Anolis sagrei: one gene and its partners. The protein of the gene in region 2 interacts with the protein of the main gene of each other region in a pairwise test. Links are inferred from orthologs where the notes say so. Each region holds a gene or a part of one and is shown on either strand. Other genes may lie near its edges. The genes, in order: CLOCK, BMAL2, EPAS1 and NPAS2.

The links.
Region 1: the proteins of BMAL2 (region 2) and CLOCK interact in binary tests that used the Homo sapiens proteins (3 or more experiments, as listed by UniProt). The link is inferred for Anolis sagrei from reciprocal best matches to the Homo sapiens genes BMAL2 and CLOCK.
Region 3: the proteins of BMAL2 (region 2) and EPAS1 interact in binary tests that used the Homo sapiens proteins (3 or more experiments, as listed by UniProt). The link is inferred for Anolis sagrei from reciprocal best matches to the Homo sapiens genes BMAL2 and EPAS1.
Region 4: the proteins of BMAL2 (region 2) and NPAS2 interact in binary tests that used the Homo sapiens proteins (3 or more experiments, as listed by UniProt). The link is inferred for Anolis sagrei from reciprocal best matches to the Homo sapiens genes BMAL2 and NPAS2.

Annotation. Positions count from the first base shown.
Region 1 is NC_090025.1:73,607,871-73,615,601, forward strand, and holds the start of CLOCK (circadian locomoter output cycles protein kaput), read left to right. Parts: upstream 1-4,667; 5' UTR 4,668-4,786; intron 4,787-4,799; exon of another isoform or gene 4,800-4,963; intron 4,964-4,990; exon of another isoform or gene 4,991-5,251; intron 5,252-7,731. UniProt on the Homo sapiens protein: Transcriptional activator which forms a core component of the circadian clock.
Region 2 is NC_090025.1:91,982,620-91,989,628, forward strand, and holds the start of BMAL2 (basic helix-loop-helix ARNT-like protein 2), read left to right. Parts: upstream 1-3,932; 5' UTR 3,933-4,369; coding exon 4,370-4,421; intron 4,422-7,009. UniProt on the Homo sapiens protein: Transcriptional activator which forms a core component of the circadian clock.
Region 3 is NC_090021.1:26,973,244-26,981,334, reverse strand, and holds the start of EPAS1 (endothelial PAS domain-containing protein 1), read left to right. Parts: upstream 1-5,074; 5' UTR 5,075-5,597; coding exon 5,598-5,623; intron 5,624-8,091.
Region 4 is NC_090023.1:103,383,904-103,391,114, reverse strand, and holds the start of NPAS2 (neuronal PAS domain-containing protein 2), read right to left. Parts: upstream 3,069-7,211; 5' UTR 2,663-3,068; coding exon 2,385-2,662; intron 1-2,384. UniProt on the Homo sapiens protein: Transcriptional activator which forms a core component of the circadian clock.

The DNA of each region.
Region 1 (7,731 bases), about 18 Mb from region 2:
GTCTAGAGTTGCTGATTTTATCAGTTCCTGAGGAAGGGGATTGCTTTCACCGAAACAGGGTACAAAAATACCCGGGAACCCCTGTTGAATGCCATTTGGACCTTTCCTTTGAAGACTTATTTTGAGAAGCAGTGGTCCATTCTCACTGGACTTGATTTGGATTTTTTCCATGAAGATTGTTTTGAGAGTGGTGCTCCATCTTCATTATTGTCTTCAGTCTACATATAGCCTCATGACTCAATGCTTACTTTGTTTATATGATTTTTCTTATTGAATGTATCCCTGAAGCCTATATACAGTGGAATCCTTATCCAGACCTAGAACTGTTACGTTTGAGAGCGGCTCCTCCTCTTGATTTTGCTGTGTGCCACTGAATTGAGCTATGTACTGGGGATTTTGGTAAATGGAATACTATATGCTCTTTTGATAATACACTTTGACATTATCCATAGATTGTTTTGTGTTTGTGCTGCTTCCAGCTGAAACTTCAGAATAACCAACTCTTGGAAAAATTACCCTATGTAACAAAACTTTTGTTCCTGGGTTATAAATGCAATTTTCTAATTGGTTCTGTCATGGGAAAATGTATTAAACTGCAAAAACTTTGTTTTGTGAGACATTCTACAGCACATTTTGCTATAGTTTTTCAATGAATATCTCATTGAGTCTCAACCAATTCAACCTAGTTTGTGGCAGCCACAAGGTTTCTGGAGTAGAACAACTACTTTCAAAGTAGGTACGACACAATTAAACAGAAATAACACTTTCAAACCAGGAACATTTTTTTAAAAAAATTGTTAGATAGTGTTATTATGACTTCAGCTCCCACAATCCTCCACTCATTCTGGCAGGGATGCGTAGACCAACTGGCTTAAACTCTGAGGATATGTCAGTTAATCTTGTTTCTTGGCATTCTGTGCTCAATTGCATCCTCAGTAGTAACTCAGTGATGAGATAATGGGTTTCTAGGGAATTATGTTGTTTCAGGGATTTTTCTTACGTCCATCAGTCATAACATGGATGGGATGAAGGATTGATGAGTATCATATGGGTTGATGTCACTTCCTATATATCAGCAAAAAGAATAGACACCTGTGTAACACAGGGAGGAATGCAAGCATCTATCAGTGATTTGATTTATAATAGACATGCAAAGTAATAGCTATATCTCAGTTGCCCCAATAGCTCATAAACTGTGAGAGAAGTACTATTCTATAGGATGTCCCAAGTCTCCCTTCATAAGGAAAATTGCAGCTAAATATGCCCTTATTTACAAAATTTTCACTACAAATTTTATAAAATATTGACAACATACTCTCTGCATGTTGTATATCTGAAAGTATACAAACATATAAGCATATACATATATAATATAATATATTTATTTTTAATTAAATATATTATTATATTATATTAATTTAATTTAATTTTTCCAATGTATGGAGACTTTTGGGATGCCCTGTATATTCAATTATGACAGACTTTATTGTTGTAACGACATTAGGCAAATTCCCTTTGAAATCAATTGGTATTTCCCAGCTGCATTCTGATCTCTAACCTTCTGATAAAACATTACATTTGTAGTTTTTTCCACATCAGTCTAGAGGTGGACTACCATGAGCACTGACCAGCATAGCCGGTGGAAAGGGATGGTAGAAGGTATCTGGAATATTTGAAGGGCTTTCCATTTTGTGCTTCATGCCATAGGTGAAGGAAGGGTGGGCTCCTAATGTTGTTGCACTACACCTCCTATCATTCCTGAACACTGGTCAAATTATTACGTTGGATGAGATTTGCAGGCCAATATCAACTGAGCACTCACTTTCACTCTATTTCACAGTATTTTGTTGCAAATATTTAAAGACAACGTTTTTCTACTGAATAGCATATTCATTTTATACATGTTTATATAGTCCAATAAATTCTATGTGAAGCTCCTTAAGAAAATAAGATAATACATACCCAGGCTTAAATAATTCTTAAGCCATGTGTGTGGCCAGGCTTAAAAGTTCTACAAGGAATAAAATATTTACATTTTGAAACAAGGCCTAATGTTTGAACGTGTTGCATTATGCATGCTTAATTTCTTAGGCTTTGCTGATTCTTCACATAAATGAATGAATGCTGGAAAAAAACATCGTTCTAGAGCAGTGACATCTGTTTTGTGGGAAATCATAGGAGTGTCATTCAAAATAAAATACAAAACATGTATTCAGGACAGCCAAAGCATGCCTTCTTGTGTAAGAGAGTCTATTGTGAAGCTACCATCTTTGAATTCAGCAATAAACCATGTCTGCTTTAGGCTTTTAATATTTTTAAAAAGTTTCACAATCATAATTACTGCGAAAATATTTTCTATGAACTAAAGATACAAGTAGGGGGCAAGGAGATTCAATGGCATATCTAGCATTTTTGATACCCAGAGTGGATCATTTAAGACACCCCTTTCTCTATTGCATCTATCTATTTATCTATCTATCGCATGGAATGAAACACATAAAAACATAAACAAATGCAGACAGTGAAATGAACTGTTATTGAACTTTACAAATACAATCAAATCTGTATAAATGAATGAATGTGATATATATAAATATATATATGTTAGATAAATATAATATAATTTATATTACATAAAACCCTGTCCGAATGCATCCCCCCTATGAACCATCATGATTAAGATCCTCTGGGGAGGCTCTGTTCTCCGTCCCGCCATTGTCACAGGCGCTACTGGTCACAGGGCCTTCTCGGTGATTGCTCCCTGGCTCAGCATACTCAGCACTTTTTAATCTGTGCCCAGTACATTTGCCCGGCCTAGTTTTATTGTGTCAAGGTGTGCTGTTTTTACCGTTTACTGTTATTGCTTTAATGTTTTTGATTTGCTTTTGGTTTATATGTAATTAGGTTCTTGTGGGTTTTTTCAGGCTATAGGGCCATGTTCTAGAGGCATTTTGGGCCCTACAGCCCGAAAAAAAAACCCACAAGAACCTAGTGATTCCAGCCATGAAAGCCTTCGACATTATATGTAATTGTTATATTGTTGTTTTATTGTGGCCTTGGCCTTTGTAAGCCGCATAGAGTCCTTCGGGAGATGCTAGAGTGGTACAAATAAAGTTAATAATAATAATACTAATAATAATGAGTCCCCTTCGGGGTGGGAAGGCTGGAATCAGATATTTATGTATTTATCATGTCAGAAGCAAACCAAGGGTACAGTTGTAGTGTATTTAAAAACACAAAGGGCGGATTCCAACAAACAAAAGTCAAACATTCAATGCCTTGACAAGAGCATAAATGCAAATACAAGTACAGTACCAACCTGACCAAGTCCTAAAATAAACCAGCATCCACATAAATTGACATCTATATCTACAAAATAAACCAACATCTATATATATATATATATATATATATATATATATATATATATAAATGCTCTGTGCATAATGAGTACCTTAAAAACAAAAGAACCAATGAACACACAAAATTTGGCAACAAAATGTCTCACAACACAAGGAGTGACCATCACTCAAAAAATTATGGTTTTGTCATTTGGGAGTTGTAGTTGCTGGGATTTATAGTTCACCTACAATCAAAGAGCATTCTGAACTCCAACAACGATGAAATTGAACCACACTTGGCACACAGAACTCCCGTGATCAACAGAAAATATTGGAAGGGTTTGATGGGCATTGACCTTGAGTTTGGGAATTGTAGTTCACCTACATCCAGAGAGCACTGTGGACTCAAACAATGATGGATCTGGCCCAAACCTGGTACAAGCACTCAATATGCCCAAATATGAACACAGATGGAGTTTGGGGGAAATAGACCTTGACATTTGGGATTTGTAGTCACTGGGATTCACAGTTCACCTACAATCAAAGAGCATTCTGAACCCCACGAACAACAGAATCGGGGCAAACTTCCCACACTGAACCCCCATGACCAACAGAAAATACTTAAGGCCATCCAATCCAACTCCCTTCACCAGGGCAAAAAAACGTAATCAAAGTCCTAATGACAAAGAGCCATCCAGCCATAGATATAGATAGATTGATAGATATGATTAACACAGAGAGATATAGTATCATAGATTTGAAAGGGACCTTTAAAGAAGGACAATATGTTGCATGTTCCAGGGTGGGCAAACCAGACACTCTCCACATCAACACTGACAAAGAAACAGCAAGAAATACTGTTTACCCACAAGCATAAAGAAATTACATATATTAGAAACCAGCACTTTCTCATTACTTTATTTTTGAGTTCAACAGATTGGGCCACAGCAACGCGTGGCAGGGGACAGCTAGTCTATTCATAAAGTTGTGGATCAGAAGCACTCCTTTCAAATCCTGACAAAAGAGGAAAAGGAAGCCCTAAACCATGGAACAAAACCTGGGAGGATTTCCCTTTGAGTGGCCAAACCTCCCCTCCCTCCCTGCTCCCTCCCCTCCAACCCACTCTCACTCTCCAGCGAGGTAATCTAAGGTCAGGCAAGAACAGCGTGTTCTTTCGCGACGCATGCGCAACACACCCCTCGGGGCGGCTCCGGCGGCGCATGCGCGGAGCAACCACCACCTCCCTCTCCTCCCCGCCCGCCACTTTTGACGAAGAAGGGGAATCACCATTTACCCCCGCGTTGGAGTATGACGCCACTGCGCATGCTCGGCGGCGGCCAGGGAAACACAAGGAGGGCTTCGTTGCGGTTTGTCCCTCAAGGAAGTGACGCATGCGCAGTACGGCTTCTCCGAGCTTGGCGGCTGCTACTGCTGCTGTTTTGCCGGTAAACTCGAGGGTGGCGCATGCGCGGTGCAGCCGAAGGCAATTTCACCTCCCCCCCCCTCCTTCCACAGGCCTGGTGGTTGTTACCATCGGAAAAGGGAGAGGCGAAACCATTTGCTCGGCGAAAGCGGGGGGAGTCGGCTGAAGAGGATGAAGAGCGCGAGACGCGACTGAGGCAGTAAGGAGGGTGGGGGCCGTGGCCTCGCTGAGGGAGAAGGGGCTGTGTGTGTTGAGGCGGTGAAGGGGCTCTGAGGTAAACTTTGACCTGAGGGACGGGATTTCATAACGGAGACCGAGGGCGGAGAGGGAGGAGGAGGAGGCCTGCCCGTGCCTTCCCTCTCGGTGGCAGCCTGCCTGCCTGACTGCCTGGGCGGCAATGAAGGATCCCGAAGGTCTCCCGAAATTGAGGCACCCCGAACGAGGGCGGTGGGCTTGGCAGCTCCTCATTGACATGCTGTCAGTGCAGGTAAGGAGGGATGCCCTTCTTGTTCCCCCCTTGTGAGGGAATCCAGGGCATTGGATCTGCCAGAAGAGCGCCAGGAATATCCATTCCTTCGCTTATTTATACGCAAATCCACTGCTTATTTACTCTCAGTCTATTCCCGCCAACACACACTTTGGCCCCTTCCACACAGCTGAATAAAATCCCACATTTTCTGCTTCGAACTGGGATATATGGCAGTGTGGACTCAGGGCCCTTCCACACAGCCCTATATCCCAGAATATCAAGGCAGAAAATCCCACTTTAAACTGGCTTATCTGAGTCCACACTCAAATAATGTGGGATCGCCTGCCTTGATAGTCAGAGATATAGGACTGTGTGGAAGGGCCCCCAGATAACTCAGTTCAAAGCATATAAATATAACTACTGAAGCACAATATGGGTGAGGGAGCAGAAGGGAAGGGGAAGCAGGGTAAAAACATCCAATGCATCTTCCCTTCTGCTCCCTCACCCATATTGTGCTTCAGTAGTTATATTTATATTTTTAATGTACCAAACATACCAAGTTTGTATGAAAATGTGACTATTTCCTGTGCTGGTCAATGACCAAAATAAATGATTTGATTTGATTTGATTCAAAGCATAAAATGTGGGAGTTTCTGCCTTGATATGCTGGGTTACATGGCTCTATGGAAGAGCCCTAAAAATGCCTCAAATCTTCGACCTCTTTCTGAGTCTGACTTGCTGATTCCCAAAATTACAACGCCCTGTTTACATTGGCGAGATTGGTGGGGATGGGGGAGAGGGCCTTCTTGGTGGTGGCCCCCCGACTCTGGAACTCACTCCCCAAGGACATCAGACATGCCCCAACCCTGGCAGTCTTTAGGTTGTTGTTGTTCATTCGTTCAGTCGTCTCCGACTCTTCGTGACCTCATGGACCAGCCCACGCCAGAGCTCCCTGTCGGCCGTCACCACCCCCAGCTCCTTCAAGGTCAGTCCAGTCATTTCAAGGATGCCATCCATCCATCTTGCCCTTGGTCGGCCCCTCTTCCTTTTGCCTTCCACTTTCCCCAGCATAATTGTCTTCTCTAGGCTTTGCTGTCTCCTCATGATGTGGCCAAAGTACTTCAACTTTGTCTCTAGTATCCTTCCCTCCAGTGGAGCTTGAAAAGGTGGTTGTTCCAGTGTGCCTTCCCAGAATAAGGAAAACTCTCAGCAATATGCCCTCAAATGCACTTTACCACAGATTTAGGACTGACTGTGGTTCCCTCATCTCTCTTTGAAAACCCTATACCAGTTATATCCTACCTTGTTCATGCCCAGTGTTGTTGTTTTTTTTATTATTTTAAACTATTACATTTGGCCTGGCCATAGGTTTTTACATGCTTGTGTGTTATGGTTTGTTGTTTATGTGATTTATATTAATTGTATTGTATTGACTGTTTTTGTTATTGCTTTTGTTTATTGATATACTGGGGGCTTGGCCTCATGTAAGCCACACCGAGTCCCTTGGGGAGATGGTAGCGGGGTATAAATAAAGTTTTATTATGATTATTTATTACATTGCCGTATACTAATCGGATTATAAAAGCAGATCATCTAAATTATCTGCTCTGAACTGGATTATCTGAGGGCGCTTCCACACAGCCATATAACTCCAGAATATCAAGGCCGATAACCCATATTATCTGCTTTGGATTATCTGAGGGCCTTTCCACACAGCTATATAACCCCAGAATATCAAGGGCGATAATCCACAATATCTGCTTTGAACTGGATTATATGAGGGCCCTTCCACACAGCCATATTTTCCCAGATAATCAAGGCTGACAATCCACAATATCTTCTTTGAACTGGATTATATGAGGGCTCTTCCACACAGCCATATAACCCCAGAATATCAAGGCTGATAATCCACAATATTTGCTTTGAACTGGATTATATAAATCCCTACAGCCATATAATCCAGTTTAGTGTGGATTTTGTACAACTGTGTGGAAGGGGGCTGAGTCCTCACTGTCATATAAACTAGTTCAAAGCAGATAATCTGGATTTTATATGACAGTGTAGAAAGGCCCTGAGAAACTAGATGCTGTCTATCCAATGCAATTTTCTGAATCAGCACCTCAAATAACCCCAGGAACAGGCTTAAAATATGTTGTTTATTGCAATCAAAGGGTCCTTTACACAGTCATATATAACCCAGAATAACATAGAAGAAAAGTTGCTACTCTGGGGGTCCTAGAAGTATACCATCCCCCCCCCCCCATCTCTTCCCCTTCACATTTTTTCTTTTCTTTTTTTTCTCTTCCTCTCCCCCCACCCCCACTTCCTACTTTCTATATCACATTATTCCCACTGTAACCATGTTACCTTTTTCTTAAATGGTCAAAAGCAAGTATTTCACTATGCTCTACTTTCTTGAGAACAACTTTTATTCTCAGTAAAAACAATTGAAAAAAGAATATCAAGGCAGAAAATCCCACAATATCTGCTTTGAACTG
Region 2 (7,009 bases):
TTGGGGAAGTGAAAATAAAGGCTTGGAGCCCTGTTCTTTCACCTGCCACAGGTTTGGCCAATTCACTGCCCTCAAGATATGTTGTGCTATGGTTTCCATAATCCCATGGCCAGCTATACTGTGCTGGGTTGTTGTAGGTTTTTCCAGGCTATATGGCCATGTGCTAGAGGCATTTTCTCCTGACGTTTCGCCTGCATCTATGGCAAGCATCCTCAGAGGGAGTGAGGTCTGTTGGAAGTAGGAAAATGGTTTTTTATATCTGTGGAATGACCAGGGTGGGACAAAGGACTTTTGTCTGGAGCTAGGTGTGAATGTTTCAACTGACCATCTTGATTAGCATTTAATGGCTTGGAAGTGCCTGGGGGGAATCTTTTGTTGAGAGTGATTTGATGTGCCTGATTGTTTACTCTCTGTTGTTTTGCTGTTGTAATTTTTGAGTTTTTTTAATACTGGTAGCCAGATTTTGTTCATTTTCATGGTTATTTCCTTTCTGTTGAAATTGTCCACATGCTTGTGGATTTCAGTGGCTTCTCTGTGTAGTCTGACATGGTGGTTGTGAGTGTGGTCCAGCATTTCTGTGTTCTCAAATAATACGCTGTGTCCAGGTTGGTTCGTCAGGTGCTCTGCTATGGCTGATTTCTCTGGTTGAAGTAGTCTGCAGTGCCTTTCATGTTCCTTGATTCGTGTTTGGGCGCTACGTTTGGTGGTCCCTATGTAGACTTCTCCACAGCTGCATGGAATACGGTAGACTCCTGCAGAGGTGAGAGGATCCCTCTTGTCCTTTGCTGAACTTAGCATTCTCAACAAACAAACAAATCACTCTCAACAAAAGATTCCCCCCAGGCACTTCCAAGCCATTAAATGCTAATCAAGGTGGTCAGTTGAAACATTCACACCTAGCTCTAGCAGACAAAAGTCCTTTGTCTCACCCTGGTCATTCCACAGATATATAAACCTATTTTCCTACTTCCAATAGACCTCACTACCTCTGAGGATGCTTGCCATAGATGCAGGCGAAACATCAGGAGAAAATGCCTCTAGAACATGACCATAAAGCCCGGAAAAACCTACAACAACCCAGTGATTCCGGCCATGAAAGCCTTTGATAATACATTATACTGTGCTGTCTGGTGAATCATGAAGGTTGTGGATCGACACATCTAGAAGGCACCAAGGAAAGAGTGCCCTGGTCTGTGAATGTATTTGTGTTGGATATGTTATGACACATAACCAGTTTCAGTATATTGATAATGGTCAGTAACACCAGCTAACGTTTACATAGTGATCCCTAACCGATTGTCAATTTTTTCCTGGATAAAGTGTTCCTTAGAGTAACTGTTCTACAAAAAAGATGGTAGATCCCTCTAGCTATAAAGTAGGGTGGGCGTAATGCAGTCTGTGAACCACATATGGCCTCAAAGCCTTCCATGTATCCCTCAATGCAATCTGGGGGAAATTTCTTCCATTCAAGCGAACGAAAACACCTCAAATTACCCCCACTCTAGCCCCAGAAATACCACAGAATCCAAATACATCAGTTCTCCTCTGTTCACTCAAAATGATTCTATATCACCATTTTCAGAGGACTGCCGGGGTTGCTGTGGGGGTGTTTCTATGGAGATGGGGAGGCTCAGCTTCATACTAGTTGTGTACATCTGCTCAAGCAGTTTGAGGTCATGCTCGAATGCCCTAGTACTAGCAACAGCATCTATGCTGTTTATGAACATCAAGCAAAAGGTGGGCGCTAGAAACAATATCATACGAAAGCTGACTGGCACAACCTGGGGATTACAACCAGACACAGTGAAGACATCTGCCCATGCGCTATGCTACTCTGCTGCTGAGTACGCATGCCCAGTGTGGAACACATCTCACCACGCTAAAACAGTGGATGTGGCTCTTAATGAGACATGCCGCATTATCAAGAGGTGTCTGCGCCCTACACCACTGGAGAAACTACACTGTTTAGCCAGTATTGCACCACCTGACATCCGCCGGGAAGTAGCAGCCAATAGTGAAAGGACCAAGGCAGTGATATCTCTAGCTCATTCCTTGTTTGGGTATCAGCCAGCACATCAACGAATTGAATCAAGAAATAGTTTTCTAAGATCTACAGCAGTGCTTCTCAACCTTCCTAATGCCGTGACCCCTTAATACAGTCCCTCATGTTGTGGTGACCCCTAACCATAATATTGTTTTTGTTGCTACTTCAAAACAGTCATTTTACTACTGTTATAAATCATAATGTAAATATCTGATATGCAGGATGTATTTTCATTCACTGGACCAAACTGGGCAGAAATACCCAATACACCCAAATGTGAATGCTAGTGGGGTTGGGGGAGGATTGATTTTGTAATTTGGGAGTTCTAGTTGCTGGGATTTATAGTTTGCTTATAATCAAAGAGCATTCTGAACTCTACCAGCAATGGATTTGAACCAAACTTGGCTCCCATGGCCAATGGAAAACACTGGAAGGGTTTGATGGGCATTGACCTTGAGCTTGGGAGTTGTAGTTCACCTATATCCAGAGAGTGCTGTGGACTCATGCAATGGTGGATGTGGACCAAACTTGGCATGAATACTCAATATGCCCAAATGTGAACACTGGTGGAGTCTGGGGAAAATAGATCTTGACATTTTGGAGTAGTAGTTGCTGGAATTTATAGTTCATTACAATCAAAGAACATTCTGAACTCCACCAACGATAGAACTGGCTCAAACTTCCCACATGGAATCCCCATGACCATCAGAAAAAACTGTATTTTCTTATGGTCTTTGGCGACCCCTCTGACACCCCCTCGCGACCCCCTCAGGGGTCCCAACCCCCAGGTTGAGAAACACTGATCTACAGAGACACTCGCTGGAACACCCCAGCAAGCGAGAGTCCAAAAGTGGCAGGCTCAAACCCACAACCTCAATCAATGGCTGATACCAAATGAGAGACTCCCCTCCTGGGCACACAGAAAACTGGGCGACTTGGAAGGCGCTGAACAGACTGCGCTCTGGCACCACGAGATGCAGAGCCAATCTTAAGAAATGGGGCTACAGGGTGGAATCCACGGCATGCGAGTGTGGAGAAGAGCAAACCACTGACCACCTGCTGCAATGCAACCTGAGCCCTGCCACATGCACAATGGAGGACCTTCTTGCAGCAACACCGGAAGCACGCCAAGTGGCCAGCTACTGGTCAAAGGACATTTAATCAACTACCAAGCTTGCAAACTTTGTTTTGGCTGATTGTTTTGTTAAAAATGTAATACAAATGTCTGGTTGCTCCTGACACGATAAATAAAATCGACAACAGAGAGTAAACAATCAGGCACATCAATTCACTCTCAACAAGAGATTCCCCCCAGGCGCTTCCTGGCCATTGAATGCAAATCAAGGTGATCAGCTGAAACATTACCCTGGTCATTCCACAGATATATAAACCCATTTTTCCTACTTCCAACAGACCTCAGTACCTCTGAGGATGCTTGCCATAGATGCAGGCGAAACGTCAGGAGAAAAATTGCCTCCAGAACATGGCCATATAGCCCGGAAAAACCTACAACCCAGTGATCCCGGCCATGAAAGCCTTCGACAAAATCGACATTATCTACTCTGAACGGGATTATGTGAGTGTATTGCCATATAATCCACTTCGAAGCAGATTATCATGGATTTTATACAGCTGTGTAAAAGGGGCCTAAGATATTGGTTAGACTACAAGCCCCCCCTCCCTCCCCGACCATCCTGGCGGAGGTATCTGGAACTTGGACGCCCCATCAATGTTTGGCGAAGTAAGCTTGGGAAGGGCCTTTGAAGCAACGCCGCTAATGAAGAGCGTGGGCGCGAGAACCTGAGGCGCAGAGTCAGCGCGCGCTTGCTCCAAGGCGGCGGCGGCGCGCGGCCTCGTATCTGGGTCAGTGGGTGAGGAGGAGGGGCGGAGCTTGGCGCGTCACGGGTCGCGTGCCGCGGGCGCACGTGCCTGCCGAGAGAAGGCAGGGATTGAGGGAGGCGCTCCCCGGGAAGCCTCCCAACATGAAGAAAGCCGCGAGCCTCGACTCCTTCAAGTGTTTGAGAGTTCAGTTCCCAGAATCCTCTCGTCCAAAGCTGAGGCATTCGGAAGGAACTGTTCTACGAAGGGTCCCCGGGTGTGTTCTGGCCAACGCAACTCTCGCGAGATGCCGGGCGCTTCCTCCTCAGCCTGAAGTGTAGCCTCTCACCCGGCCTCCCTCTTTCTTCCCTCCCTCAGGGGCTCGCTTGGCGGCGGCCGCTGCCGGAGCACCTCGTTCTCTCTCTCGCCTGCCCTCCCCATGCCTCTGCGGCGGGCGGCGGGTGGCGGGCCGCGGCTGCTGCTCCTGCTGCCTCTGCGGAGCGGGCCATGGCGGAGGCGGCAGGAGCTGAGGAGGCCAGCGGGAGACCCGGAGCCCCAGGTGAGGCGGCACCTTCCTTCCTTCCTTCCTTCCTTCCTTCCTTCCTTCCTTCCTTCCTTCCTTCCTTGTGTTCTCTATATCTAAATCCACAGCACTGCTGGTCATAGCTGACCTCCAGTTGGAACACTCAAGGACCAGGGTTTCCCAGTTCTCGGTGTCTATGTCACAAGTTTTTAAGGTTAGCTTTAAGCCCCTCTTTAAATATTTTTTCCTGTCCACCAACATTCCTTTTTCCATTCTTGAATTGAGAGTAGAGTAACTGCTTGGGGAGATGTTGATCAGGCATTCGGACAATGTGGCCACTCCAGCGAAATTGATGGAGAAGGATGTGTCCGAGTCTCCAGGGTAGCAGAAAACAAGCCTGCTTCCTCCTCCCTGTGACTTCTCCTCACATATTTATACATGGCCATCAGTGTTCTCTTCTTCAGGCTAAACATGCCCAGCTCTTTAAGCCGCTCCTCATAGGGCTCTTTCTTCAAATCCTTGATCATTTTAGTCGCCCTCCTCTAGACATATTCCAGCTTATCAACATCTCCCTTTAATTGTGGTGCCCAGAATCTGACCGAGGCAGAATAGAGGGGTAGCATGACTTCCTTGGATTTGGACACCACTCCTATTTATACAGGCCAAAATCCCATTGGCTTTTTTTCCTGCCGCATGACATTGTTGGCTCATGTTTAACTTGTCCACGAGGACTCCAAAATCTTTTTCACACATACTGCTGTCGATCCAGGTGTCCCCCATTCTGTTATCTTTGCATTTCGTTTTTTCTGCATTTGTTGAACTTCATTTTGTTAGATTTGGCCCATCTCTCTAATCCAGTGGTTCTCAACCTGTGGGTCCCCAGGTATTTTGGCCTACAACTCCCAGAAATCCCAGCCAGTTTACCAGCTGTTAGGATTTGTGGGAGTTGAAGGCCAAAACATTTGGGGACCCACAGGTTGAGAACCACTGCAATAATTTCTTAGATCGTTTTGAATTCTGCTCCTTCTGGGGTATTGGCTGTCCCTCCCAATTTGGTGTCATCTGCAAACTTGATGCACTCCACTTGTCACTTCTTTCCAGGATGATGAGGAAGCATTGGTGAGCATCCTCTGGGTTCATTCGCTTAACCAATTACAGATCCACCTAACCATAGTTTTGCCTAGCCCACATTTGACTAGTTTGTATGCCAGAAGGTCATGGGGGAAAGGGCTGGCAAAACTACCTCTAAGAACTCTATAAAATTTTATGGGTAACCGTATGTCGGCAGGAAGCTGGAAGAAATACATAGGGCATGTTGATTTGATTTTTTTCCATTATGTATAATTTCATTTTAAATGCTGATATCATTTACCTTTTGACCTATTTTGCGTGCACACCTTAACTGATATTTAAAGTTTTCTGTATGAGCAAAATGTTTTTTTATTCTATCTACACAAGGTTTTTAAAGAATAGGTTTTGTTTTTTGTTTGCATTTTGGGTAACCATGGACCAAAGTACATACATTTTATTTTTTACTATATTATGTCAGATTGATTAAATCATCTTTCTTGTGCTTTAGTATTCCATTCTTTTCCGATATATACTTCAGGTGGTTCATGAAACAATGCTGAAAGGCACATTGTCTTCACACTTCTGAATATGGCTGCTGGTCTTCCAATTTTAGACACAAAGATGAGTCTTTTGTACTCGTCACTTCTGTTTTATTTTGCGTTAGCAAAATTGTGCCGGCAAATTCTGTTTCCCAAAAAAGTAGGTCAGGGTTTGTTTGTGTTTCCTTTGATCCTGTAGTGCTTTCTGACTGGAGCTTTGCTTGCATTAACTTTCAAATTGTAATCTATTATTAAAGAACAAAACCTGGTGTAGGGACATTCTGGAGGGCTGTTTTAGATCTTCCCTTCTGAAAATAGGGAGAGCGCTAGATACAGACCCAAAGGTCAGTAGAGTACAAAAAGTCACTCCCAGTCAATATGGAAATGTACTGTATATGACCTGTTTGTCATTTGATGTGAATACTTCAACATTGGTGTATGGAAGAAGGGAGAATTCCAGTCAAAGAAATGGTCCATGGGCCGTTGCCAACCACGAGTCATTTGTAGCCATTGAACACAAATATGGTACCAGTCATTGGTACATCGAGAGAGAGAGAGAGAGAGAGAGAGCGTGTATGTGATGCTGGCTTCCCACATCAGATAGCTTAAAAGGCAATGTTATAGACAATATCTATGACAAAACTGTATTGTGAGTAAAAGAAATATAATCCCCAATAGAGACACTTTTTTTGTACATCCCAATTTTTAAATATTTGCTTCTTTTAGCTACATGAGCAAGAATTTCCTCTTTATTTAGTCTATGCAATTTGAAGGAAAACCGAAACAGTGATCCATTTTATGGGGTTTTTTAAATCACCGCTTTAGTCCTTTTCACAATCTCCACCGTCGCTTCCTGCTTGTTGGCATATAAAAGGATGGTTTGCAGTGCTCTTGCAAATGATTATATAAAACACATTGGGTTTGATGTAAACCTTTCTCTGTTTTTGTTCAGTTACTAGAGGAGTTTTAATTCTTATGGACATTCTTTTGTTCTTTTATGGACATTCATCTGAA
Region 3 (8,091 bases), on a different chromosome or scaffold from region 2:
TCCTGCAGGTACAAGGGTTTAGCCCACTGTGCCATCGAGGGCTCCTAGGTGGCGTATTCATGGGTAATGTGAAAATATCTAGTCGGCCTGCCTGTTTTTAGCTTCTTTACATTTCTTATGTATCACCTAAGCGTTTTCTTGCAAAGCACCAGCATTGCCCTTGGGCCTGATTGTTCCTGTTCTCCAGTCCAGTCGACTCTGCTTTGCTTAAACTGTAATTCAAACCTTAGCCGGCATGGCAAGATCTCTTCGTCTTGGGCCAAACTGATAGACCTGGCCTTTGGCCGTGTGCCTCCCATTTAGCTAGTTGAAAGAGTCTTTTTTAACTTGCCGGACTCTGAAGCCTGACTGTTTATCCTAGCATAATCAGATATCGAGAAAGGAGATTTGAATTCAGCTGGTATCAGTGAAGATCCCAAGGGTTCTGTTAATCTAGGGAATGAGTGACCTGGTTCTTTGATCTTGCAATGTTCTTTCTATCATCTGTTAGATAAATGTAGGGATCCTTCATTGCCTGCACATGCATTGTGCTCAACTGAAGTTTCAAATATTTGCAGATTACCATTGTTTATATTCTATTACCCTACAATCAGATTGTTGCTTTGCTGGCATGTTGAACTCGCTTCAGAAGAGAAAGCAGAGGAGATTGGTACAATATGCTCTGGCTTGTTTCTGTTTAACAGGGAGAGCCTGGTCCCCTTCTGCTTATATAGGAAATGTAGAGACGCTGATCAAAAATTGGTTAGTATGGGTCACTTGATGTTTCCTTCTGAGGTTTCCATTTCTCACCCTTTAGTCTTTAGAAATTAAATAAATGCGGATTTGCTCACGGTTTGTAAATTCTATTTTATATGCATTGACTCAGATTTTAAAATGCAGTATATTTCAGTGTAGTGAGGAAGGTACGAATCCAGCCTCAATGCAACTAGAGTAAACCAGCTGACTCCATGGAATACAGTTGTCCCTCCACATCTACGGTTTTGACTGTTATGGATTTGATTAAAAATGTTGGACTCAAGTGTCTTAAGATCACTTTTAGGTATTGTTGATGGGCAAGATTTCTGTGTACCATTTTTGTAGATTTTTTTTAAAAAAAATAGGATTTGGGCTTGTTGTTGTATGGCATCAAGTCATTTCTGACTTCCAGCAACCCTAAAATTATAGGGTTTCTATGGATTCCTGTGGTCAAGTGGGGTTTTGAACACTAGTCTCTCGACCACACTGAAGAATTAATGCAATCTAACACCACTTCAACTACAATGGCTCTATGCTAGGGAATTATGGGAACTTTAATTTTAAAAGGCCTTTAACTTTCTTTGGTGCCTCACCAAACTAGGATTCCATAGAATTGAACCACCTGAGTTAGAATGATGCTTTTTTATCTAATCAGAAGCAACTTGAGAACATACTGCAAGTTGCTTCTGGTGTGAGAGAATTGGCCATCTACAGATGTTGTCCAATGGAGCCTCGGATGTGTTACCATCCTGCTGGAAGGCTTCTCTTATGTCTCCGCAAGCTAGAGCTGACAGATGGGAGTTCACCCCATCTTGCAGATTTGAACCGGCAACCTTCAGGTCAGCAACTCAAACTTCAGGTCAGCAGTCCAGCTGTAACAAGGGTTTAACCAGGCAATGACAAACTTTGGTCCTCTAGGTGTTTTGGACTTCAACTCCTTCAATTCCTAACAGCCTACTTGCTCTCTTAGGAATTTTGGGAGTTGTAGTCTAAAACACCTGGAGGGCCAAAGTTTGCCCATGCCTGGTTAAACCCATTGTGCCATGCTAAACTGCATAAATTCTACAGTATAGTTGCACTCAATGTGGCCACAAAGGCTTTCAGAGGCAAGAATTAAGTAATTAAGATTGACACATTATTCAAATGGTCTAATTTAGTTGGGAGTTAAAGTGTAACGAGGCACCTGCACTCATTGGCATAGGTTTGGACCATGGATATGTACACACATACTTTAAAATTAATTGAAAAATCTTGGGGATTTATTTATTTATTTATTTGCTGTATTTATATACCGCCTTTCTTAGCCCGAAGGTGATGCAAGGCTGTTTATATTCAGCACAATTCAATGCCCCCAAAAACATAAAATACAATTTAAAACAGTAGCATATAAAATATAGATTCATATAAAATCAAAAGCATGTCCTTACTGAAATTATTATGGCTGAGGACACATTTTCCTTCACCCTCGTTGTTTACTATTGGCAACTCACTCAAAAACACCAAGTTGCCAAGCGAGTTTGGCATTCTGAATAATAGCTCAGCCTTAAGGCTAGTCCTGCTTTAATCTCTCTCTCAGTTTTCCAAAGAATTAAGGGAAGTATATAGTACTTAACAGAGAGCCAGCATGGGGTTGTGGTTTGAACATTGGGCTACAACTCTCAGCCTCAGAGGAAAGGAAAGGTAGACTCTCTCTGAACAAATCTTGCCAAGACAACCCTATGAGAGTGGTTTGCCTTAGACTGGAAACAAAGGTAGTGGGTTGTTGTGAGTTTTCCAGACTGTATAGCTATATTCCCAAAGCATTCTCTCTTGATGTTTCGCCCATATCTATGGTAGACATCCTCAGAGATTGTGAGGTCTGTTGGAAACTAGGCAAGTGGGGTTTATGTATCTGTGGAATGTCCAGGGTGAGAGAAAGTACTCTTGTCTGTTTGAGGCAAGTGTGAATGTTGCAATTGGCCACTTTGATTAGCACTGAATAGCTTGGCAGCTTCAAAGCCTGGTTGCTTCCTACCTGGGGTAATCCTTTGTTGGGAGGTTAAATTGGTTAGGATTCTATGAGATATTAATTGAAAAAAAATATAGCAAAATATACTGCAGGATGTCCTGGGGTAATCCTTTGTTGGGAGGTTATCTGGCCCTATGGAGCCCCCGGTGGTGCGGTGCGTTAAACCCCTGTGTCGGCAGGACTGAAGACCAACAGGTCGCAGGTTCAAATCTGGGGAGAGGCGGATGAGTTCCCTCTATCAACTCCAGGTCCTCATGCGGGGACATGAGAGAAGCCTCCCACAAGGATGATAAAAACATCAAATCATCTGGCGTCCCCTGGGCAACGTCCTTGCAGACGGCCAATTATCTCACACCAGAAGCGACTTGAAGTTTCTCAAGTCACTCCTGACACGACAAAAAAAAAACTGGCCCTGATTGTTTCCTGTCTGGAATTCCCCTGTTTTTTGAGTGTTGATCTTTATTTCCTGTCCTGATTTTAGAGTTTTTTTTTTAATAATGATAGCCAGATTTAAAGGTACACAACCTAAAGGTATATAACAACAACGTGCTAAACCCTCACCACAAGGCTAGTCCTCAAATCCACAACTTATCCAAAATAATCTGGGAAGCAATGTGGCTGAGCTGGAGTTTTGCATTTATTATTGTAAATACCCCTTTCTTATTCCAATATAATCTTGAAGTGGCAGAATCTTGACTTCTTTTTAAAATGCTCAATGTACTTTGCAATTTCTTTCCTGCACCTCATATTATCAGACCCGGGGAAAAGTTGCTTCAGCATTGTATGTAACTCCCACTCTGATCATACTGCCTGGGAGATTCTGAAGGGAGTTGCCAATATTTCATTTCATTTTAAATTTTTTCTTCTTCTAGTTTTGCTCTGCCTAACTTTCCAGAGCATTGACCCTGACTGAGTATCCACACTGCAGAATTATTGTATTTTGACACCACTTTTACTCCCAAACCTTCTACAAAATCCTGGAATTTGTAGTTAGTTCAACCTAGTTCAAAGCAGATATTGTGGGATTTTCTGCCTGGATATTCTGGGTTATATGACTGTGTGAAAGGGCCCTTAGTGAGACACCAGCCCTCTTGACCAGTGAAATAGCAATACTTAAAAAAAACATATCATAGGATCCTATATAGGGTGTGATAGGTATGGGCCCTTCAAGTGGTGCCAAACCCTGCAGTATAGAGTGCATTTGCACTGTAGAATGAATGCAGTTTGACATCACTTGAACTGACCTGGCTAAAAGCTATGGAATTATGGGACTTGTAGTCTGGTAAGGCACAGGACTTTTTGGCAGAGAAGGCTAAAGACCTCCTAAAACTACTGTACAGCATCAGTGATTCCTAGCACGGAGCCAGGGTAGTTAAAATGACTTAAAATTGCATTTATTCTACTGTATAGATGCACCAAAACACTTGTTGATCTCTAAGGCACTGCAAGATTTATTTGCAACTGAATTTAGCTATACTTTGTGTTTCCCTGTCAGTCTCTTTGGGGGGGGGAGGGGGGTGCTGCTGCTGCTATAAAACTCCAACTCCAGTGATTCTGTGGCCATGAATCAGCTCAAATGGAAGTCAAACTGCATTTATTCTGCAGCGTTGATGCACTATGACCCTCTTTTAATTTCTAAAGTGCTGCAAGATGCCTTTTGTCACTGTGTCTAAGGCGTTCTTGGCATTTTCCCTGCCGGTTGTTAGGAATGGTGGGAGTGGAAGTCCAAAACACTTGGCGGGCTGACGTTTGCCCGTGCCACTGCCTACTGTAGAGGCACCCTAGGTCCGGGCCTTTTTCCCCCGGGGGTGGGGGTCTCTGCTCCGGAGTGTGTGGTAGAGGAACCTTCTTTGGAAGCTTTTAAACAGAGGCTGGATGGCCATCTGCCGGGGGTGCTTTGAATGTAATTTTCCTGCTTCTTGGCAGGAGATTGGACTAGATGGCCCATGAGGTCTCTTTCAACTCTATGATTCTATGATGCTATAATGTGGGACTTTCTGCCTTGATATTCTGGTATATAGCGCTGTGTGGAAGGGCCCTAAGGCGCCCTTGGCGTTTCCCCTGCTGGCTGTTAGGAATGGTGGGAGTTGAAGTCCAAAACGCCTGGAGAGATGAAGTTTGCCCGTGCCACTGCCTACTGTAGAGGCACCCTAGGTCTGAACCTTTTTCCCCCCGGGAGTGGGGGGTCTGACCCATCCGGCTGTGCCTCCTTCGGCCCCTCCCTCGCTTTGACTTGCGATCAACAAGTGCTGCCAAGTGGCTGGAGGCGGGTCCGGAGGCGTGGGCTTTGCCCGCCCCTTGGAGGCAGCGCCCTCGGCGGCCTCTCCAGCTGGAAGAAGCGCCGCCTGAGGCTCCAGCCTGCCTCTGTCCTCCTGGCCGGTCGGCAGAGCCTTCCCAGGGCGACCCGTCCTCCCTTTCCTCCTCCTCCTCCTCCGTACATATACCCAGCGCCAAAGGAGGAGCGGCAGAAGCAGCCAGGAGCAGTGGCGGCGGGGAGCCGCGGCGCCCTTGCCTCCTCCCTCTCTCTCTCTCTCTCCCCTGAGCGGGCTGTACAATCCTCGGCAGTGTCCTGAGACTGTATGGTCAACTCAGGGGCGGCTCGACGGCCTCCTCCTCTTCCTCTTCCACCCCCGCCAAGCCCAGGAAAGGCAACCCACCCGACGGCAAGCGCGCAAAGAGCGCAACCCATCTCTTCTCCAAAGTGGTCTCCAAGCTTGGCGCGCGCGCTTTCTCTCTCTCTCGTGCGCCCTGACATCTTCCTCCCCAAGGATCCCGACGGACAGAAAGCCCCTTCCTCTCGGGGATACAGCGTGAGAGCATCCCAGCAAGCAAGCAGGAACCCCCGCTTCCCAGGATGACAGCCGAGAAGGAAAAGAAGAGGTAAGGGAGGAGGAAAAGAGAGCCAGGGACATCTTTGCGGGGACAAAGTTCTCGCGCCAGTTCTTTGAAAGCAAGGAAGCTCTTCCGCTGGTTGGATTCAGGAGGGACCTCTCCTTTTGCATCTCTTTCCTAACTCTTCCCAGTCCTTTGGAGCCAGGGAGGTTGAAGTGGGGCTGGATCTCTCTTTCCCCAATCCCAAATGGTCCAACAATGGTGCCTTGTTTGGCTCTACTTCAAGTCCTTTCCCTCTGCGTTCTGCTCCACTCACTTCTCTGAAGCGCCCAGGCTCGGGTCCATCTCTACAGTAGAATAGATGCAGTGTGACACCCCTTGAACTACCAAGGCGCAATGCTAAGGGAGCCTAGCAGTTGTGTTTCCCCAAGGTCTTTAGCCTTCTCTGCCAAATAGAAGTGGTGGTTCAATAAACTGCAACTCCCCAGATTCCAGTAGCACTAAGCTGCGTCAAACTGCACCCATTCTACAGGGTAGATCAGGCCTGGGCAAACCTGTGCCTTCCAGATGTTTTTGGACTTCAACTCCCAACATTCCTGAGGCCCATAAGCGGCTGAAGGGGGAAAGGAAGGAGGCCGAGGCTGTTAGGAATGGTGGGAGTTGAAGTCCAAAACACCCAGAGGGCCCAAGTTTGCCCATGCCTAGTGTAGCTGCCTGAACACTAGGAATTATTTAACTCGAACTGGATCTTGCATTCCAATATCTCAAATAGAGTGAGAAATGTCAGATCTTGGTGCTGTCCTTGCTGTGGCATATTTCGTGATCTAGAATCATAGAATTGGAAGAGACCTCAAGGGCCATCCAGTCCAACCCCTTGCCAAGAAGCAGGAAAATTGCATTCAGGGCACCCCCGACAGATGGCCATCCAGCTTCTGTTTAAAAGCTTCCAAAGAAGGAGCCTCTACCACACTCCGGGGGGAGGGAGTTCCACTGCTGAACAGCTCTCACAGTCAGGAAGTTCTTCTTGATGTCTCTTTTCTTGTCGTTTGAAGCCATTGTTCTGCATCCTAGTCTCCAGGGCAGCAGAAAACAAGTTCACTCCCTATGACTTCCCCTCACATATTTATACATGGCTATCATGTCTCCTCTCAGCCTTCTCTTCTTCAGGCTAAACATGCCCAGCTCTTTAAGCCACTCCTCATAGGGCTTGTTCTCCAGACCCTTGATCATTTTAGTCACCCTCCTCTGGACACATTCCTGTTTGTCAATATCTCTCTTGAATTGTGGTGCCCAGAATTGGACACAATATTCCAGGTGTGGTCTAACCAAGGCGGAATAGAGGGGTAGCATGACTTCTAGACACTCTACTCCTATTGATGCAGGACAAAATCCCACTGGCACTTTTTTTTTTTGCCTTCTTTAGCCTTCTCTGCTGAAGAGGGCTGGTGGTTCAACAAACTGCAACTCCCCCAAATTCCAATAGCACCAAGCGGCTTCAAACTGCATCCATTCTATGGTGTAGATCAGGCCTGGGCAAACTTGTGCCCTCCAGGAGTTTTTGGACTTCAACTCCCACCATTCCTGACAGCCTCAGGCCCACAAGCAGCTGAGGGGGGAAAAGAAGGGGGCTGAGGCTGTTAGGAATGTTGGGAGTTGAAGTCCAAAATACCTGGAGGGCCCATGCCTGGTGTAAGTGCACACTTGGACTGCTTTAATTTGAACTGGATCTTGCATTCCAACATCTCAAATAGAGTGAGAAATGTCAGATCTTGGTGCTGTCCCTGCTGTGGCATATTTGGTGACCTGTGGACTTTCAAAAAGTTTACTTCCACTTCTTGTTTGACTCAGGGCCCTTCCACACAGCCTTATATCCCAGAATATCAAGGCAGAAAATCCTACAATATCTGCTTTGAACTGGGTTATCTGAGTCCACACTCAGATAATGTGGGATTTCCTCCCTTGATATTCTGGGATATAGGGCTATGTGGAAGGGCCCTGACACTCTCTGCAATGCAACCCTGAAAGCCAACTAATAATCAATGTATTGTCGAAGGCTTTCATGGCTGGAATCACTGGGTTGTTGTAGGTTTTTTGAGCTATATGGCCATGTTCTAGAAGCATTCTCTCCTGACGTTTCGCCTGCATCTATGGCAAGCATCCTCAGAAGTTGTGAGACCTCACAACCTCTGAGGATGCTTGCCATAGATGCAGGCGAAACGTCAGGAGAGAATGCTTCTAGAACGTGGCCATATAGCCCAAAAAACCTACAACAACCCAACTAATAATCCCTTGCAAGAAGATTCAGTCCTTTAAGGATGTCCTCACTTTTAATCTCCAACAAAGTGTGGAAGGGCACTTCCGAACAGGATTGTATCATTTTCTTATAGTAGAATGAAGGTGGATGATGGGAAGGCAGCATCCAGTGTTAGATAAGAAGAGGGTACTCACACATTACATTGAATATGCATGTCAGTGCATAGTTTTGGTTGTTTTCTTGGCAATATGCATTCCAGTGT
Region 4 (7,211 bases), on a different chromosome or scaffold from region 2:
ACATTATCTGCTTTGAACTGGGTTATATGGCAGTGTGGACTCAGATAAACCAGTTCAAAGCAGATTTTGTGGGATTTTCTGCCTTGATACGAAAGGGCCCCGAGTCCACACTGCCATATAACCCAGTTCAAAGTAGATACTGTGGGATTTTATACAGCTGTGTGGAAGGGGCCAGGAGACTAGCCTTTGAACCCCCACTCAGCCCTGGAAATCTGCTGAGTGACTTTGGGCACGTCACATACTCTCTGCCCCAGAAAACCCTGTGATGGTGTCACTTTAGGCTTGCCATACTTTTCGGCAGCAGCAGGCAACACAAGCACCTACTTCTCAGGCTCTGTGGTGTGGGAAAATGGGACTTGTGTCCTATCTCCTAACTCTTTCCTAACAATTGACCACAGGTCAGAAGCAGTGGTTCCAGGCTTAGTCCAGGGACTAGTGCTCTGAGGAGTGATGCTGTACAATAGTGGTTTCCAGACTTTGGTCCTCCAGTAGTTTAGGACTTGAACTCCCAGAATTCCCAGCCAGATTCCAGCTGTTAAGAACTGTGGGAACTGAAGTCCAAAACACCTGGAGGACCAATGGTTGGGAACCACTGCTATACTGATACGCAGGTCACGTCTATTGTGTTCTGCTGGAAACTATGTGTTATGTTGCAACAAAGGGCCCCTCCACACAGCCATATAACCCAGAATATCAAGGCAGAAAATCCACAATATCTGCTTTGAATGGGGCCCCTTCCACACAGTCGAATAAAATCCCACATTATCTGCTCGGATCTGGAATATGTGGCAGTATGGACTCAGATAACCCAGTTCACAGACAGCAGATATTGTGAAAATTTCTGCCTTGATATTCTGAGTAATATGTCTCTGTGGAAGGGACCTGAGTTAGCTGAGTCCACACTGCCATATAATCCAGTTGTTTTGATACAGCTGTGTGTAGGGGGCCTAAGCCAACCTTTTCTCCACCTTTTGGTGACCTCTCTCTTCAGAGGGCCCTTCCACACAGCCATATAACTCAAAATATCAAGGCAGAAAATCCACAATATCTGCTTTGAACTGGGGACCCTTCCACACAGCCCTATAACCCACAATATCAAGGCAGAAAATCCCTCATTATCTGTGTGGACTCAGATAACCCAATTCAAAGCAGATAATGTGGGATTTTCTGCTTTGATATTCTGGGATATAGGGCTGTGTCGAAGGGCCCTGGGCTGGCTGAGTCCACACTGCCATATAATCCAGTGGACCTGATACAGCTGTGTGGAGGGGGCCTAAGGGCTCTTCCACACAGCCCTATATCCAAGAATATCAAAGCAGATGATCCACAATTGGGAGCCCCTGGTGGCAGAGTGGGTTAAACAACTGAGCTGCTGAGCTTCTTGACTGAAAGGTTGCAGGTTCGAATCAGGGTAGTGGCATGAGCTTCCAGATTCTGCCAACCTAGCAGTTTGAAAACATGCAAATGTGAGATCAATAGGTACCACTGTGGCAGGAAGGTAAAGGCGCTCCATGTAGTCATACTTGCCACATGACCTTGGAGGCATCTACAGACAACTCTTCAGCTTAGAAATGGAGATGAGCACCAACCCCCTAGAATCAGACATGACTGGACTTCACAGGCAGGGGTGGCTCAACCCATTACGCAAAGTAAGCATTTGCAGTATAGTTGATTTTGCCCAGGGGGGCTCTTGGGGTGCTCCTGGGGGAAAATAGACCTTGACATATGCGAGTTGTAGTTACTGGGATGTATAGTTCACCTACAACCAAAGCGCATTCTGAACTCCACCAATGATGGAATTGAACCAAATATAGCACATAGAACTCCCACACGAACAGAAAATATATATCAGTGATTGGTTGGGCGGGGACCAAAATACTGTTTGCTTACCATTGAAAATTACCTAGGGCCACGTCTGTTCACGGGAAAACCTTTCCCTTTACTAACCCACAATATCTGCTTTGAACAGGGTTGGCTGAGTCCACACTGGCATATAATCCAGAGTGTGGAAGGGGCCTCCTCCTAAGACAGCCTTTTCTAACCCTTTTGGTGACCTCTCTCTTCAGAGGGCCCTTCCACACAGCCATATAACCCAGAATGTCCAGGCAGAAAATCCCACAATAGGTATCTGCTTTGAACTGGGTGATCTGAGTCCACCCTGCCATATATTCCAATTCAAAGCAGAGATTGTGGGATTTCCTGCCTTGATATTCTGTGTTAGATGGCTGTGTGGAAGGACCCAGAGAAGCGAAGAGTGCGGGGAGGTGAACCTGGGCCACCCGTGGGAGCGGTGGCGAGGGCGCCCCCTAGCGCGGGCAGAGGAAGGAGGAGAAGGAGGAGGCTGAAGTGTGTCACTGTGCCAGGCGCGCGCGGGGCTGGCTTACCTGAGGAGCCTGGCGGGAGGGCAGAGGGGCGCGCGCGCGGCCAGGGCGCGAGGCCAAAGCGGGGCGGCGGGAGTGCTGCTGCTAATGCTGATGTTGCTGCACCCGCTGCTGCTGCTGCTATCCGCGGTGGCCACTTGCGCGCGCGGACTCCCGCCGCCCTGGGTCTCCCACTCGCGCTGCCGGCTGGCCGAGTTCTCCCTCTTCAAAGGCACGGGGGGCTCCGAGGCGCCTTCTTTTTTGCTGCTGCTGCTTCCGCCACTCCGCCGCCGGTCTCTCATGGTGTGAGGGAGCCCCGCATGCCGGACGCTGCCCGCTCCCTTCCCTCCTCAGCTCTGGCGGGAAGGGAGAGCGGAGCCGGGGCCGGGCATTAAGTTGCGACGAAGACCGCGGGGGCCCTTCGCCTCCAAAGTGGCTGCTGCCCCGGGGTCTGCGGAGGAGGGGGCATCCTCTTCGAGCCACGGAGGAAGCTTCCCTCACGACATGCTCTCTGCGTGGGGCTCTCTCTCTCGCTCTCTGGGTTGAGGAGGCTCCCGGCCAAGAGGGAGCTGCGAAATGGGGTCAGGGAGGCAAGGCGCTTCCTTCGCGCGCCCTCCTCCTCCTCCTCCCTTCCCGAGAGAAGGTGGGCTGAAGGGTGGGCTCTTTCGGCTTCTTTTTTGGCGCGTGGGGAGGAGGAGGAGGAGGAGAACCAAAGGCAGCTGCGCGGGAAAAAGAGCGCGCGGCCTCTCCCTCTCTTTCTCTCCCGCCTCTTGTTTTTGCACAAGGGCAGGAAGCGCTCCACTGACCTACATATTATTTTGCCAAACAGACCTGACCTTCCCCTTCCTTCCCAGGAGGAGGAGGAGGCGGGGGCGGATTCCACACGAAGGAGAAGAGGAATTTGGGGCCGGCCTTGAGATCCGAGCGAGCCCTTCCGAGGTGTGCCCGGAGAGCCGTCGGCAAGAAGGCAGCGCACACGGGCAACGCACACTTGCAGGAGACAGAGTTCACCCAGGGAGTTCAGGACTTTGGTTGAGCCCGCTGTCCTCAGACCTTGGGTGCATCTATAGTGGAGAATGAGGGCATTTTGATACCAGCACCCTTTGGCAAAGAAGGTTAAAGACCTTGTAAAACTAGAATCACAGAGTTGGAAGAGACCTCATGGGCCATCCAGTCCAACCCCCTGCCAAGAAGCAGGAAAATGGCATTCAAAGCATTCCCGACAGATGGTCATCCAGCCTCTGTTTAAGCCTCCAAAGAAGGAGCCAACACTACACTCCGGGGCAGAGAGTTCCACTGCTGAACAGCTTGCACAGTCAGGAAGTTCTTCCTCATGTTCAGATGGAATCTCTTTTCTTGCAGTTTGAAGCCATTTCTTGCTCCCTCCTCCCTATGACTTTCCCTCACATATTTATACATGGTTATCATGTCTCCTCTCAGCCTTCTCTTCTTCAGGCTAAACATGCCCAGCTCTTTAAGCTGCTCCTCATAGGATTTGTTCTCCAGACCCTTGATCCTTTTAGTTGCCCTCCTCTGCACAAATTCCAGCTTGTCAACTTCTTTCAGTTGTGGTGCCCAGAATTGGACACAGTATTCCAAGGCAGAATAGATGGATCTAGACACTATACTCCTATTGATGCAGGCCAAAATCCCGTTGGCTTTTTTTGCCACCGCATCACATTTTTTGCTCGTTTAACTTGTTGTCCATGAGGACTCCAAGATCTTTTTCACATGTACTGCTTTTAAGCCAGTCACCCTCCTTTGGACACATTCCAGCTTGTCAACATCTCCCTTAAATTGTGATGCCCAGAATTGGACACAGTGTGATTCCAGGTGTGGTCTTACCAAAGCAGAATTGAGGGGTAGCATGACTCCCCTGGATCTAGACACAATACTCCTGTTTATGCAGTTAGGAACTGCCAGGCTTTCATGGCATTGAGACATGGCAGCTAAAAGTGGTGTCAAACTGCCTTAATTCCACAGTGTAGATGCCTCCTGGTTGGAAACCTGTGTTCCCTTTCCAGGCAGGTGCAGAGGACACTTTCTGGAGTCTAAACTGCTTAGACGGGCATTTGTTTCTAAATATAAATGTCTGCCTGTCAGATTTTTTAAAATGTTCACAGTATGTATGTGTTTAAAAATTCAAAGTGCTCCAAGACACAGTTTTGAAAGATTTGAAATTTGGTTCCAGAATGACTTTTTAATGTTTATTAAGTAGAACCATTGAAACATAAGAGTTGGAAGAGACCACAAGGGCCATCCACAAGGAAAGCGCCCCCAACTGAAGTCTGCACACCTGTTTTATAATTTTAGTGCCAAACAGAGGATGCATGTACACCATAGAATCAATATAGTTTTGACATCACTTTAACTGGGACATGAGAAAAGCCTCCCACAGGATGGTAACACATCGAAACATCCAGGTGTCCCCTGGGCAACGTCCTTGCAGACAGACAATTCTCTCACACCAGAAGCGATAAACTGCAAGCCACTCCTGACGTAAAAAACAAAACAAAATACTTTAACTGTCATGGCTTAGTCCTTGGCCAGGGGACCTCCAAAGAAGACTGTGCTGGATCCTGACAGCTGTATTTCAGAAGGAATGGCAAACCATCTCTGAAGGCACATATGCACAAGGCAGTTTGAAGGCACACACACACAAAAGTGCCTCAGAACTCAACATATGAAAGCTAAATTGAGAATGAAGTTAATTCTCTGCCTTACATCTCAGCAGAGAAGCCCACATAACATATGGGCTGAAGTTTCTCCAGGTGCAATGTCTGTCTCCACATCCAAGACCATGGAATCTGACTTGAGTTGAAGGAGTTTGAAGAATTAATGTTATAATATTACCCTCAAGCTCACTAAGTTTTTCTTAGAATCATAGAATTGGAAGAGACCTCGTGGGCCATCCAGTCCAACCCTCTGCCAAGAAGCAGGAAAATCGCAATAAAAGCACCCCCGACAGATGGCCATCCAGCCTCTGTTTAAAAGCCTCCATAGAAGGAGCCTCCACCACACTCCAGGGCAGAGAGTTCCACTGCTGAATGGCTCTCACAGTCAGGAAGTTCTTCCTCATGTTCAGATGGAATCTCCTTTCTTGTAGTTTAAGCCATTGTTCCACGTCCTAGTTTCCAGGGCAGCAGAAAACAAGCTTGCTCCCTCCTCCCTGTGGCTTCCTCTCACATATTTATACATGGCCCTCATCATGTCTCCTCTCAGCCTTCTCTTCTTCAGGCTAAACATGCCCAGCTCTTTGAGCCGCTTGTTCATATGTCTTGTTCTCCTTGATCATTTTAGTCACCCCCCTCTGGACACATTCCAGCTTGTCAACATCTCCTTTCAATTGTGGTGCCTAGAATTGGACACAGTATTTCAGGTATGGTCTTACCAAGGCAGAATAGGGTAGCATGACTTCCCTGGATCTAGACACTAGACTTCTATTTATGCAGGCCAAAATCCCATTGGATTTTTTTTTTGCTGCCACATGACATTATTGGCTCATGTTGAACTTGTCCATCCATGAGGACTTCAAGCTTTTTTTCATATGTACTGCTGTCGAGTCAGGTGTCCCTCATTCTGTATCTTTGCATATCATTTTTTTCTGCCTGAGTGGAGTATCTTGTATTGGTCCCTGTTGAACATCTTGCTTCTTTTTGTTAGGCACCTTGGAAACTGAGGTAAACAGATAGTATACAAAGATGCAGATTCAAAAACACCTGTAAACTCAGATTCATTACATATAGGTGTAATACAAAGACCTCCATTCCATTCCGTATAGTTAATAGGTGACCAAGATGCATCTACACTGCGGAATTAATTCATGGCTCAGTCCTGTGGAATCATGGGTGTTGTAATTTGATAAGGCAACAGACAACTTGACATACAAGGCTACAGACCTTGTAAAACTACCAAGATTCCATAGTGTTTTGGGCACTTAAAGTGGTGTCAAATGGCACTAATTCTTAATCCTAAGTTTCTAAATGTAACATTGAAAATAATCACATTTGATTTATTTGGGTTTTTAAACATATATATGCACATATAGGTCCATGGAGGGTTACCTGTCAATGCTGAGATCACAATAGAACCCCACCCCCCAATAAAAAAGCTTCTATTTGCCATGGAAGAGAAGCAGTAAATGACATCAACAACCAATTCCTTCTTGTAGAAAATAGCAAATGGTGTGTGTCTGTGACAGCTTTCATTAGGATCAAACTATGGGGCAAAACGATCACCTTCCCCTCCTGCATGCTGCTTTCTGCAAGCCTGTTTGCCTCTGGCTGCAGGTAAAATTCCCATGCAAGACAGGTACTGTATATGGAATGCAAACATAGTTTTAACATATTGAACGGTTAGATATTAGCATTTCTATGTCTGCAAATAAAAGGCAAGAAAGGGAATAGAAAATGTTTCTGGTCTTTTCATATTACACCAGAAACTTTCAGAAGTGTCTTATATAAGAGGGAAACATCGTTTGCGATGCTTCCAGCATGATTTTCTCCCACACACACAAAAAAGAGGCCACATCTCCAAACCTTCTGCAATATTAATTGGATTTTCTGTTTTGCATGAAGATGCTCCCGGACCATGTAAGCAGGCAGAATGAGGGTCCAGAGTTTGTGAGCTATAACTGCAGTTGGAAGTGGCAGGGAGGAGCTGAATCATTGCCTCAGTGCTCCCACTTTGGTTTCCCTTTACTAAGCTTTCTTCACTTGTCCAGAAGCTACTTGTGAATTACACCATGGCTTCCAAATCACATTTTGCTGAATCTTTTTCTTCCCTTGATTTAGAGAATGTCTGCTGTGGAATAATTCCTGTTGTGTATGTGTGTATATTTCAAGTGTGTAT